Daphnia pulex: one gene and its partners. The protein of the gene in region 2 purifies or fractionates together with the protein of the main gene of each other region. This does not show direct contact. Links are inferred from orthologs where the notes say so. Each region holds a gene or a part of one and is shown on either strand. Other genes may lie near its edges.

Region 1 (3,415 bases), on a different chromosome or scaffold from region 2:
AGGGCAAAGTTATGGACATGCTGTTTGCAGCTTTTGAAAAGCATCAGTACTACAACATCAAGGACTTGGTAAAACTCACCAACCAACCTGTGGTAAGAAAAAGTTGTTTTCATACAAGCATTTGCACTTTTAAAACCCTCTGCTTTTATAGACCTACCTCAAGGAAATTTTGAAGGATGTTTGTGTATACAATTTGAAGAATCCTCACAAAAACATGTGGGAACTGAAACCGGAATACCGCCACTACAAAGATGAAGACAAGGACTAATAAGTAAACAGTCCATTAACTTTCTAATAAAGCTGTGATTTTCAGAAAACTACTAAACAGCTCTTGGATGCACATAACTTCAGATAACTCAAATGGGTTTCAACTGCCCTTGAAATTGTTCGATAAAATGTTCTCTTAGGCTACAATTTTCCCTTCGTCTAAAAATTCCCGTGCTAACAAGTGTGTGGTCCAATACATCGATGCGAACTTGAAAATTTTACCAATATAATTTATCCCAACCATATCAGGAAGAAATGATTTCATGAGCGAGTTCAGTGCGAAAAGTAGGCTTATGTGCTAACGAGGAACCCCTTTTAAACAGAATCGTAAGATTGTAAAAACAAGAATCAAGTAAAAGGTTACATGTTAATATTTACAGCTTTTCATGGTACCCTACTTACAGTTAACATTATATTATCTCAGTCAAAAGCCATAATCTATTAGAATAGCAACAGCCTGTCTCTTGATGAGATTCATCATCCAACCATGATTCAACCAACAATTTAACGCTGAATATAGTTATCTACAAATTAATTTGTTTTAATTTTCACTAGTTACAATTTGCCAGAATGTAATTTTAAAAATTGTTTATTTGTCAATATAGATACTATAAAATACACCAAACAGAATTATTTCACCAGGAAATCTGCAACTTCAGGTAGCGATGTGAGGGTTCCTGTACAACAACAGAATAAGAATTAGCATTTCAACATCATAGAAAACCATTTAAAGCACACTTCAACAAATTATCCACAGTGTGCCTCAGTGCCTTCAACATCAATTACTTTATGTTACTACTATCAAATGTTTTAATTCGGTTCAATCCATGTGTTCCAAATAAGGAGACAACGGTAGATCAGAATAAATTTTAATTTAGCATGTCCGCTTGGCCACTATAAGCTAAGTAGAGCTAGTGTGGTTCAAAGGAATGCAAAATTCAGTCTTAGTTGCATGAATTAAATAAGATATTTACCGAAACGAATACAAAACTGGCTAGCAGCAATCAAACCAGATGGGGGAGCTTCACATGCTTCAAATGGCGTTTTACAGTCCTACTTATAACATTTGATTTCGTCCAACGCTGTTGAATTTCGGACTTCCTGTCGGAGTTGACAGATGGAAAATCTACAATAAAACTTTTGAAATCTTTTAAACAAATATGAACCAATTAAACTTGTTTATAATTTATTATTTCTATAATGATAGTTGAAAAAATTTTAAAAAGCAAACTGAAATAAATTATGTGGGAAGATGAATTCCGAAAGAGGGGGTTGAGAAGGAGGCAATGCTGGGCTTGTCAACTTCGTCTACAGAAAAAGTACTGTGTATTCCTTCTTCCTCTCGTAGACCGGTCTTAAAATACGTGAAATGGCTACGGCTCAGATCTCGAAAAAACGAAAGGCAAGTAATTCTTTCAACACGTGAATCTTTTTCATCTTGTTCTCACATATTCACCGTTTGAATATTGAGGTGTTATTGATGAAATAGAACAGTTTCTAACCAGGATGTGAAAGATTTTGGAGGATAAAATTCGTCTTGGCTTGACATGTTTCTATTGTCAGTGTGCTTGAGTTTACCTAATTTTCTTATAATTTTGTATTACAGTTTGTGGCGGGAGGTGTCTTCAAGGCTGAATTGAACGCCTTCTTGACCCGTGAATTGGCCGAAGATGGTTATTCTGGAGTTGAGGTAATTCTTGTGAAATTATTTTGTTACTGTGTAGATATCTAAAACCCATTTTCCTATTAGGTGCGCCTTGCCCCCACTCGCACAGAAATCATCATTCTGGCTACACGTACCCAGAATGTTTTGGGTGAGAAAGGCCGTCGCATTCGCGAGTTGACATCTGTTGTCCAAAAGAGATTTGGCTTCCAAGAGGGAACTGTTGAGCTCTATGCTGAGAAGGTTGCTACTCGTGGCTTGTGTGCTATTGCCCAAGCTGAGTCCCTGCGCTACAAACTCATTGGTGGTTTGGCTGTTCGCAGGTAAGCTAATTCAATAGGCTGACGTTTAAATAGTGCATTTCTGATGTAATGTGTTGTTACACAGAGCTTGTTATGGTGTTCTCCGTTTCATCATGGAGTCTGGAGCTAAGGGTTGTGAAGTTGTTGTATCTGGCAAACTTCGAGGTCAGCGAGCCAAGAGCATGAAGTTCGTCGATGGTCTGATGATCCACAGTGGAGAACCCACCAACGTCTACGTCGACACTGCCGTCAGACACGTCTTGCTTCGCCAGGGTAATTTATTGTGCATTATATTGACTTGGGAGGAATCTTTCTAATCATCTTTGTTATTGTAGGAGTACTTGGTATTAAGGTTAAGATCATGTTGCCGTGGGATCCCAACAACAAGAACGGACCCAAGAGACCTTTGCCAGACAATGTTTCCATCCTGGAACCTAAAGATGAGACACACATCGCAGAGGAACTTAAAGCAGCCAAGATGTCCGACATCGCAGCAGCACCTCCCACCCAAGCTGCTGCCTAAGGAGTGTTTCGTCTATTTACTGGGCTGGTGTCGATTAACTACCGTAGTTTCCAATATGAAACGAGAGTTAAATACATGCTTTGCCTGGTCAAGGTTGTGTTTTATTTATTATCCTACACCCTACTTTTCTTTTTACGCTCAAATTAAACTTACCAATTAATTTAGGTAATGAAGCAAGTCCAAGAATTGATGTGTAAAAAATCTTAGTAAATTAGAGTAAGGTCTGCGTGAAAAACAAGGTTTTCCAACTACCGCTGTCGGCGTGAGACTTATTTCAGTAAGTGGTTCTGCAATTGAACGTGTCGGTTGCTGAAAATAGTTCTCGTAGAATAATTGTGCACTACATGCCGACAGTGAACTTCAAAATACGGTTCAATGCAGAGCTGCTGCAGTTTGTTAATTTATAATTGTTTTATCGTTATCCATCTCATGAAGAAAAGTTAAAGTGAAATGTTACCGATATTGTCGATGTTGTGGTTACTCGTGTTACTGGAAAGGTAAGAACTTTTCTTTAATTTTCTTAATCTAGTGTATTTAAGAGCTTACGTGAGCATTGACATTTAAGCATTTTCTTGGTGATTCAGGATGAAAGCTAGACATTACTTGATACAATGGGTCGTTAAACAACTTTTAATCCGGGGGTTTCACTAGTGAGGCATT
Region 2 (4,362 bases):
ATTTTTTGTCAGCGACTTGAAGCCCTCATTTCGATTTCCTTAGAGATGCGCATAAATGGAAGGCTACGTCAGTCGAAATTGTTATCAAATTACATAACAAATTAAGTGACGGGAATTTGATTGGAGAGATAGCGATATCGTTGTTCTGGCCCATCGTTATTTTGGCATGGAACTTCCGCCTCCCTCTCTCGTTTGCAAAGACATTTTCTCATAGAAGTATTGAAAATAATATATTTACTTCCCACAGAGAAGCAGTAACGGGCGTGCAGCACAAAGATTTTAGGAGTCTATAGCTCTAATTTAAGCATAGATAAAGAAGACTTATGGTGTCTTTATCTGTGATTTAAGTACCTGAAAATCTGAAATCTTTGTGCTGCACGCCCGTTACTGCTTCTCTGTGGGAAGTAAATATATTATTTTCAATTGTACTTCTTTCTATACTTCGCGTGCGAAGCAAGGGATCTGCATTCCGTTTCTTGCACCAAAAGCCCGGAGGGAACCTTGCTACGCAAGTCGCACGGTGCAATGTTATTCGCAATTTTTTAATATTTTTGTACCTATATTTAAGTATTTCCCACTTATTGCCTGTACCGTTAGATGTGTTACTCAATTGGTCATCTTTTAATTTTTACTTCAAGCCCAAATACAATCTAGTCTATTTTATATTAAAATTATTCTTTAGTTGTTTACCCTTCTTACATGCTATCCCCGACAAGATTATGGCGGTCATTTTGATGATAAGCCTTAGAAGTGTACTGACCATAAATTCTTAATTCCCTAGCAAGAATCTAAAACTATTTAATTTAATTTATTAAAAACAAACGAGTTAAAAAAATTCAAAAGAGGTCAGACCCAGACCAAGTTGGAAACTCGAAAGCGAACGAGGGGTCTGATTATAAACACCTGTAAATAAATTTTGTTATAAAAGTAATTGTAGCCTATTTTAAAAATGAACGTTTTCAACGGTATTGTGCATGGAATATTCTAAATACCATACTATATTATTTTAAATATTGCAAAATTTGCGCACGTCATTGCTGTTTGCATATAATATTCGATAACATTTGATTTAATGAATGCACCAGCGACTTGCCATGCTAATCTTTGGTGTTGGAATCAAAGTCGAGATATGAAACGTAACATGTGCATACCACCGAAAGTTTGTTTATTACACATTTATGGACTGGGAAAGTGGACGTCTCTCGAGTGCAACATGAGGCAATGTATCCACAAATAAAGGGGAAAAACCCACCAGTTTTCGAAAACATAGCGTATGGAATTAGAATGTACATTTAAGAAGCGGAGAGTTATGGCGCTGTCCGCTGCGGCAGATTTTTTTTTGTGTTGTCAAATTCACATTTTTATTTATCCAAAGAAAAACTACGGCTTCATATGAAAGTTTAAAAAAATATTAAATATAAATTAGCTGAGAAATTAATTTTTTACTTTAAAGGTTTTTAACTTTTTACAATTTATAATTGTTTGTGTTTCAATTTTACGCCGACAGAGGTCTTAGGTTTTACAACTCCGACTATGGAATATAATCGAAAGTTTTGTTTATACACATGGGTTTTCCCCTTCTGTCATATCAATGAAGCTTCAGGCTAAAGATTGCGCGAGCAGTGCTAAATTTACTTATAAAACTTTGTAACTTTGTGAAAGGCTCCAGTTTGAACGGTCTTTGTTGAATATAACACGCAAATCGAAATGATTTTTAGCTAATTCGTTTGCGTTGAATTAATACGAGAATTCTTTCGTGTATTCAAGGTTAGTTCCGTTGTGTATCTTATGAACTGTGTTGACTGTTGATATACATTATATCATTTATATCTCTTTAACATATAATCAAATGTTATTTAATAAGTATGATTATTAAAATTAAAATTATGAAGAATGCATCAACCAATTGGTAGTAGTCCTTACTCACCTGAATCATCACATTCCTCAAGTTCTCCGATAAGCCACAGCTTCTCCAGTGGAAACTCTCCTATGATGTGTGCCTCACCAAACAGTGCCTACATGGGTAATCAGCAGTTTTTTAGAATGAATTTATGTTAAAATTGTGTAAAATATGGATTCATTTTATTACAGGAAATTCTCCCAGTTCAATTCCTATCAGACCAGGCAGGCTATCCCCATGTTTATCTATACTTAATCAACCACAAGGGAAGTTTCGTTTTCGTTATGCCTCTGAAATGACTGGAACACATGGATGTCTTATGGCAGAAAGCAAGGAACGGAACAAAAAAGAATATATTCGTGTTCAAGTATGTTTCACTTGCTAATGTAAATATTTACCAACTCATCCATAATTTCAAATCTGGAATCTTAAGTATTTAATTATAATTACTAGGTTGTAGTAAATTATATATGGGTTGAATTATCATTCAAAACTGTTGATCTTTAATCTCCACTTTATAACTCAGAAGTCAGAATACCTTAATTTAAAAAGAGAGGTAGGGGTTAACGCCAAGCGATTCCTGCTATTGCGTTTAATGTTATGCCGTTGTAAAACAGTGTACGATAATTCCACCTATAGAACTGTATTTCAACTTTTTCAGTTGACACTTATTTCTGTCACACATATTAGTTGTGTTAGAATTAGTCAGTTTTGTATTGGTATATTTTCATTTTGCCAATTATTCACAATTATTTAGAATTAATATTAATGCCAGTATTACTAAATGACTGTCTTTAGTTGGAAGGCTGTCAAGATCGAGAAGCTATTATTCGTTGTACATTAGTTACAAACAGTTCAAAACCTGTTCCACATGTCCATCGTCTTGGAGGGGAAGGAAACTCCAATGGGAACAATGGGAACGAAGGAGAATACCAAGAAATGATAGTCTCCGCTGGTAAAAACGAATGGACTGCAACGTATGTATAGGCTACTCAATAAAATTGTTAATAATAGTAATAATAAATTTTTTTAAATATTTTGTTTTAAAGTTTCTCCGGTTTAACAATTATACACACAGCGAAAAAACAAGTCCGTGAGGTGGTTGAAAGGCGTTTGATAAATGAACTGGGGAATGCACCCATGAATCGTAACCAAGGGCAACAGGTATGGAGTTTTCAATGATTATATTCTATTTTAAGTAGTCTTATTTGTTGTTGCATTAGTAAAGTTATTTAACATTCATCCCCGGTCATTATAGTTGAAGGACGAAGCAGACAAGATAGCCAATACAATGGATCTTCATTCGGTTAAACTAAAGTTTGAGGCCTTTGTGGAACAAAACGGTTTTCGTGAACAGATCTGCCCACCTCAATATTCCCAAGCTATTCACAATTTAAGTAAGTTTTAAAAGATATCTATAGTAGTGGAAAATGTTGCTAATTAAAACTACCGCGTTAAAGAAGCGTGAAAGGAAAACGGAAAATCTAATTCGTCGTCCTAAATTTCGTATTTTTTTATGCACGTACTGTAGTTTTTAATACTAGCTAAGTATATTAATGGAAAAACAACAATAACCGAGGAGTTTGAGCGTTATTCATTTTTATTCCATTTTCTATTAATTAACGGTGACCTCTCTTTTTTTTATTGTTTCGATTATTTCTCTCCACTTTCAGAAGCGTAAAAAATGACGCCTTCGAAATCCAAGTAGCAAAGTCATTTTTAAATAGTTAAACGTAGGAATCCACTCAAATCAATTTACATGTGAAACCTCATTTCGGATTGAGAATTTTTGTAAAAAAATCACATTGATTTGATTCAAGTAAAAAAAAATTAATTTAAATCGATTCGAATCAATTTATGTTAAGATCTTTATCCACAAAACATTTGTATGGTTAGTACAGACAAAATAAATTACTTTTTAATCATTTAAAGAATAAAAGCACAAAAATCGAAATTTAAAAGGTTTCCATAAAATTGTTATCCTGTCTGTGCTTCTTTAAACGATTATAAAGTATTTTGAATGACACACATTTTGATACTTTTACATATGATTTTATTTAAAAAAATTACGGAAATCAGCATTAATGTACACATAAAAAAATATCCGCAATAACTTCAATGAATATTCACCTTCAAATTTTCTATTAATTCAATTGACCCGCGAATTTGGATTTTGTCAATTTAAGTTAGACTTCATCTTAAGTTTCGAAAAACTCGAATTCGAATTTCGATTTATACGAGATTTGATTGGAAGTCCTAAACATGAAGTGGATGTTCAGTCTTTCTAAACGAAGTGGAATTTTACTAACGCAGCAATACTGTTCTAACCTAATCTTACCGTGTTTTTCAAAATCTAGAAAGCACTCATGCTGGAGACTTACGCATCGTCCGAATAGATAAGGTCTATAGTTGTTGTACGGGACAGGAAGAGATTTTCATCTTCGTGGAGAAAGTCAATAAAA
Region 3 (4,317 bases), on a different chromosome or scaffold from region 2:
AACTAATGTAGGCACAGTTTTCTTCACTGATATTACTGAAGGCTCATCAGATTTTAAGTTTTCTTGTTCTGTGAATAATAATATGGCACAATATTAAATTTTGTTTTGTACTCTTAAAATGTTATCTTACCTTGGTTTTCATTCAATGAAGTAGCCACTTCATTAGAATATGTTTCTGATGACTCACTAGACTGTTCTTCAAAGTGCTGTATCACTTTTTTAACCGAGCCTTTCGAAGCCCCAGCAGACTCTTTATTCTCTTCAGCTGCTAGTTCCAGCACAGTATTAATCCTTGTCGAACTATTATCCAAATAAGATCGAAAATCCACGTCTTTTTTGTCTTCTTGGTACTAGAGTAGTATGTATAAATCGCAAGAGTTAGAATCAGGTCTGCATAGCTCTTTGAAGAGAATTTGACATTAAAATACCTTAGTGAAGAAGGAACTCCAAAAATTATCTCTTTCTTGTAAAATTCCTTCCCAGCATTTTTTCAATCTGTCCATCGTGTTGGATTGTCATTTCATAGTTTCGAAATTATTGATCCATTATTTCAACAAGTAGGCCACTCTCTTAACACCAACAAGAACATAGCATCCGACGCTTTCGAGTTTTGAATTCACCTTTGCAACTTAATTTCGTCTGCTATAACTTTTGCAACAGTGTTTATCTGACAATTAGGTGATGATTGAAAATTTGAAACATATTATTCCAGAATATATGGATGAAGGAAAAATGTGGTGTATTATTCACAATTGTATCATCAAAATTAAAAATAAGAATCAAAAGACCCCAAGTAATTCCCTGAGGATTGCTTGTTTCAGGCAATCAAGAAAAATGAATTGCAAAAATTTTCAGCAGTTAATTCATTATCTTGATCCAATCTTTAAAACTGGATTTTTTTTGTATGACATGTAATCATCATATTTGAAGAATGAAATTTCAGTTTCATGTCTTACATCACTCTCCTTGAGTGTCCTTTCCGCTTTAAGGATGAGACCTTCATCATTCTCGTGGTTAATGACAGGATCATTTGTTTTAGCTCCATGTGCATGGTGCTCAATCTGTAGAAAACCATAGAAAAAACAACAAATACATAAAAATAGCAGTAAGATGTTATTCAAATAACCTTCAAAGTGTCATATTCGTATTTTCGAAAAGGTGGTGGCAGTCCCGGAGCAACACCCAACTCTTGAATTATTCTAGTTTTCAACTCTTCAGTTGTAAGGGAAAGTGGTACATTCTTTAAAACCACATTGCGAATGTTTCGATATTCAAACGACCGGATGACTCGAATAATGATCGTGGCTGTCTCCATTGATAAATTGTGCGGGGCAGTTTGTTTTGAACTGATGTGATGTTGCCACTGTCGAAATAGTTTAACAAATTTTGAATTATTACAGGGTACGCTTAAAATGTATAGAATAAATAGCTCATAATAGTTTTGAAAATTACACTCCCGACGAGGTCACACAATATTAGTAAAAGCTGATAGAAAAGAAGCAATTTAGTATTTTGGCTAATGATTCTATCTGGCAATGTTTATTTGTGCTCCACTCCTCCCCCAGTGATGACAGATCAACCGGCCACGTAGTAGAACTATTCAACAATCCTCACAACAAAATGGTTTAACATTAATACTACTTGTTTAAATCATAACAATTATTGAGCTAATTTCATGTTATAATTTTTTATAGCCGCTGAAACTAGATATCAAGAGAAGGCTTACCGCCCGTTCGGATCGCGTGAAAAGTGTCGACTTGCATCCAACAGAGCCATGGATGTTGGCCTCCTTGTATAATGGAAATGTGCATATTTGGAACCATGAATCACAACAAATCATCAAATCTTTTGAGGTAAAATGAGTACTTCATTGAATTCTTCCTTAATGACTTGACCATTACTTGCCCTTTTGTAGGTTTGTGACCTGCCTGTTCGTGCTGTCAAGTTTGTCCCAAGGAAAAACTGGGTTGTTAGTGGTTCTGATGATATGCAGGTATAGTTTTCTTGATGTCTTATCCATTTCAGATTAGATATAGTTTAATCCTCTTTAAATTGTTCCAGGTCAGAGTGTTCAACTACAACACACTTGATCGTGTGACAGCATTTGAAGCTCATTCAGACTATGTTCGTTGCATTGCTGTGCACCCCACTCAACCCTTTCTATTAACTAGCAGTGGTATGTAAATAATCTGTTTTTCTAACAGATTCAGTGTTCATACAGTCTTTCTTCATTTTAGATGATATGTCAATTAAGTTGTGGAATTGGGAAAAGAACTGGGCATGCCAACAAGTCTTTGAGGGTCACACCCATTATGTTATGCAGATTGTCATCAATCCAAAAGATAACAATACATTTGCTACTGCATCTCTTGATAGAACAGTCAAGGTATGTTTTTACGAAAATATTTTGCCAGAAATTTAACTTAAAATCAATTTATTACGGTCCCTCATTCAGGTCTGGCAGTTGGGCTCGAACACACCGAATTTCACTCTTGAAGGCCACGAGAAAGGAGTAAATTGCGTCGACTATTACCACGCCGGCGACAAACCTTACTTAATTTCAGGTGCAGATGATCGGCTTGTTAAAATTTGGGATTACCAGAATAAAACCTGCGTCCAAACTTTGGAAGGGCATGCACAGAATATTTCTTCTGTTGCCTTCCACCCCGAACTTCCAATTCTGCTTACTGGATCTGAAGATGGAACAGTCAGGTAAATTTATTATTCTCTTTATTTATTTTTTAGTCAAGTATACTATTTTCTCTAAATCGTAGAGTATGGCATTCAAATACCTACCGGTTGGAGACTACTCTCAATTATGGGCTGGAGCGTGTCTGGACCATTTGTTGTTTGCCTGGGTCTAATAACATCGCTTTGGGCTACGATGAAGGATCTATCATGATTAAATTGGGCCGAGAGGAACCTGCAATGTCCATGGATCAAAGCGGTAAAATTATCTGGGCCAAACATTCAGAGATCCAGCAGGCCAATCTCAAAGCGCTGCCGGACTCGGAGATCAAGGATGGAGAACGTCTTCCTCTTGCCATCAAGGATATGGGTGCATGCGAGATTTACCCTCAAACTGTCGCTCACAATCCAAACGGAAGGTATGTTTGCTAACTGCTCATGGCATAGAAACCAGTAAATAATAAAATTCCGTTTCATAATAGATTCGTCGTTGTTTGTGGTGACGGCGAGTACATCATCTATACAGCTATGGCTCTGCGAAACAAAGCTTTCGGTTCAGCTTTGGAGTTTGTGTGGGCAGTGGACTCATCCGAGTATGCTGTTCGTGAAAGTGCCACGTCGGTCAAAGTTTTTAAGAACTTCAAGGAAAAGAAACAATTCAAACCAGAGCTGGGAGCCGAAGGTATATTGTGCATAGTAATTGAAAACAGAATGAAATATTGATTCTAATTAAAATTTTACATTCACAGGAATCTTTGGTGGAGCAATGCTTGGGGTCCGGTCTACCAACAGCTTAGCTTTTTACGAATGGGACAATCTGACACTGATTCGTCGGATTGAGATCCAGCCACGTGGTGTGTATTGGTCGGAAAATGGTGAATTAGTTTGCATTTCTACCGAAGACAGCTATTTTGTTTTGCGTTATGATGCTGATGCCGTGGCCAAAAGCCTTGAAACCAAAGAAGGCTTGACCGACGATGCCGGAATTGAGGTGATTTTATTTAAAGACAAAGTGTTAGTACATTTTTAAAAAATATTTTCTGAATGTTTAGACGGCGTTCGAAATGTTATCTGAAGTGCAAGAAAGTGTTAAGACGGGACTTTGGGTGGGCGATTGCTTTATCTACACCAACAGTGCCAACCGATTAAATTATTACGTCGGTGGGGAAATTGTCACAGTGGCCCATCTCGACAGGTATGGCTTGAAAGTTCACCATTCTTGCAATAATCAAACCGATACTATTAAACCCATGTGTAACTTTTGTTTCCAGAGTGATGTACTTGTTGGGCTACATTCCCAAGGACAACAGTCTTTACTTGGGCGACAAGGAGCTAAATGTAGTTTCCTACGGCCTGCAACTCTCGGTGCTTGAATATCAAACCGCAGTTATGCGACGAGACTTCGAAACAGCTGACCGAGTGCTCCCGTCGGTTCCCAAAGAGCAACGCACTCGAGTGGCTCATTTTCTTGAGAAGCAGGGATTCAAAGAACAGGCATTGGCAGTCTCCGCTGATCCTGAGCATCGCTTCGAACTGTCACTTCAGCTTGGTCAATTGCAACTGGCCTACCAACTAGCCTGCGAGGCTCAGAGTGAGCACAAGTGGAAACAACTTGCTGATCTGGCCACA

Evidence for each region.
Region 1: the proteins of nuclear factor NF-kappa-B p100 subunit-like (region 2) and 40S ribosomal protein S3-A-like purify together in Homo sapiens (affinity purification with western blotting; 3 studies listed by BioGRID and IntAct, with this or other methods). This does not show direct contact. The link is inferred for Daphnia pulex from reciprocal best matches to the Homo sapiens genes NFKB1 and RPS3.
Region 3: the proteins of nuclear factor NF-kappa-B p100 subunit-like (region 2) and coatomer subunit beta'-like purify together in Homo sapiens (affinity purification with mass spectrometry; 5 studies listed by BioGRID and IntAct, with this or other methods). This does not show direct contact. The link is inferred for Daphnia pulex from reciprocal best matches to the Homo sapiens genes NFKB1 and COPB2.

What each region holds. Positions count from the first base shown.
Region 1 is NC_060025.1:408,502-411,916, forward strand, and holds 40S ribosomal protein S3-A-like, read left to right. Parts: upstream 1-1,523; 5' UTR 1,524-1,636; coding exon 1,637-1,669; intron 1,670-1,873; coding exon 1,874-1,957; intron 1,958-2,017; coding exon 2,018-2,253; intron 2,254-2,317; coding exon 2,318-2,505; intron 2,506-2,567; coding exon 2,568-2,755; 3' UTR 2,756-2,847; downstream 2,848-3,415. Other genes in the region: general transcription factor IIF subunit 2-like, read left to right, coding at 1-92, 152-268. UniProt on the Homo sapiens protein: Component of the small ribosomal subunit. The ribosome is a large ribonucleoprotein complex responsible for the synthesis of proteins in the cell. Has endonuclease activity and plays a role in repair of damaged DNA.
Region 2 is NC_060019.1:3,340,681-3,345,042, reverse strand, and holds the start of nuclear factor NF-kappa-B p100 subunit-like, read left to right. Parts: upstream 1-1,555; 5' UTR 1,556-1,767; intron 1,768-1,864; exon of another isoform or gene 1,865-1,892; 5' UTR 1,893-1,893; coding exon 1,894-2,023; intron 2,024-2,091; coding exon 2,092-2,267; intron 2,268-2,698; coding exon 2,699-2,877; intron 2,878-2,949; coding exon 2,950-3,064; intron 3,065-3,158; coding exon 3,159-3,297; intron 3,298-4,257; coding exon 4,258-4,362.
Region 3 is NC_060017.1:7,292,183-7,296,499, forward strand, and holds the start of coatomer subunit beta'-like, read left to right. Parts: upstream 1-1,455; 5' UTR 1,456-1,620; coding exon 1,621-1,623; intron 1,624-1,694; coding exon 1,695-1,853; intron 1,854-1,915; coding exon 1,916-1,993; intron 1,994-2,061; coding exon 2,062-2,176; intron 2,177-2,237; coding exon 2,238-2,386; intron 2,387-2,455; coding exon 2,456-2,712; intron 2,713-2,774; coding exon 2,775-3,107; intron 3,108-3,170; coding exon 3,171-3,370; intron 3,371-3,437; coding exon 3,438-3,679; intron 3,680-3,740; coding exon 3,741-3,883; intron 3,884-3,959; coding exon 3,960-4,317. Other genes in the region: uncharacterized protein LOC124197376, read right to left, coding at 1-68, 131-350, 429-503. UniProt on the Homo sapiens protein: The coatomer is a cytosolic protein complex that binds to dilysine motifs and reversibly associates with Golgi non-clathrin-coated vesicles, which further mediate biosynthetic protein transport from the ER, via the Golgi up to the trans Golgi network.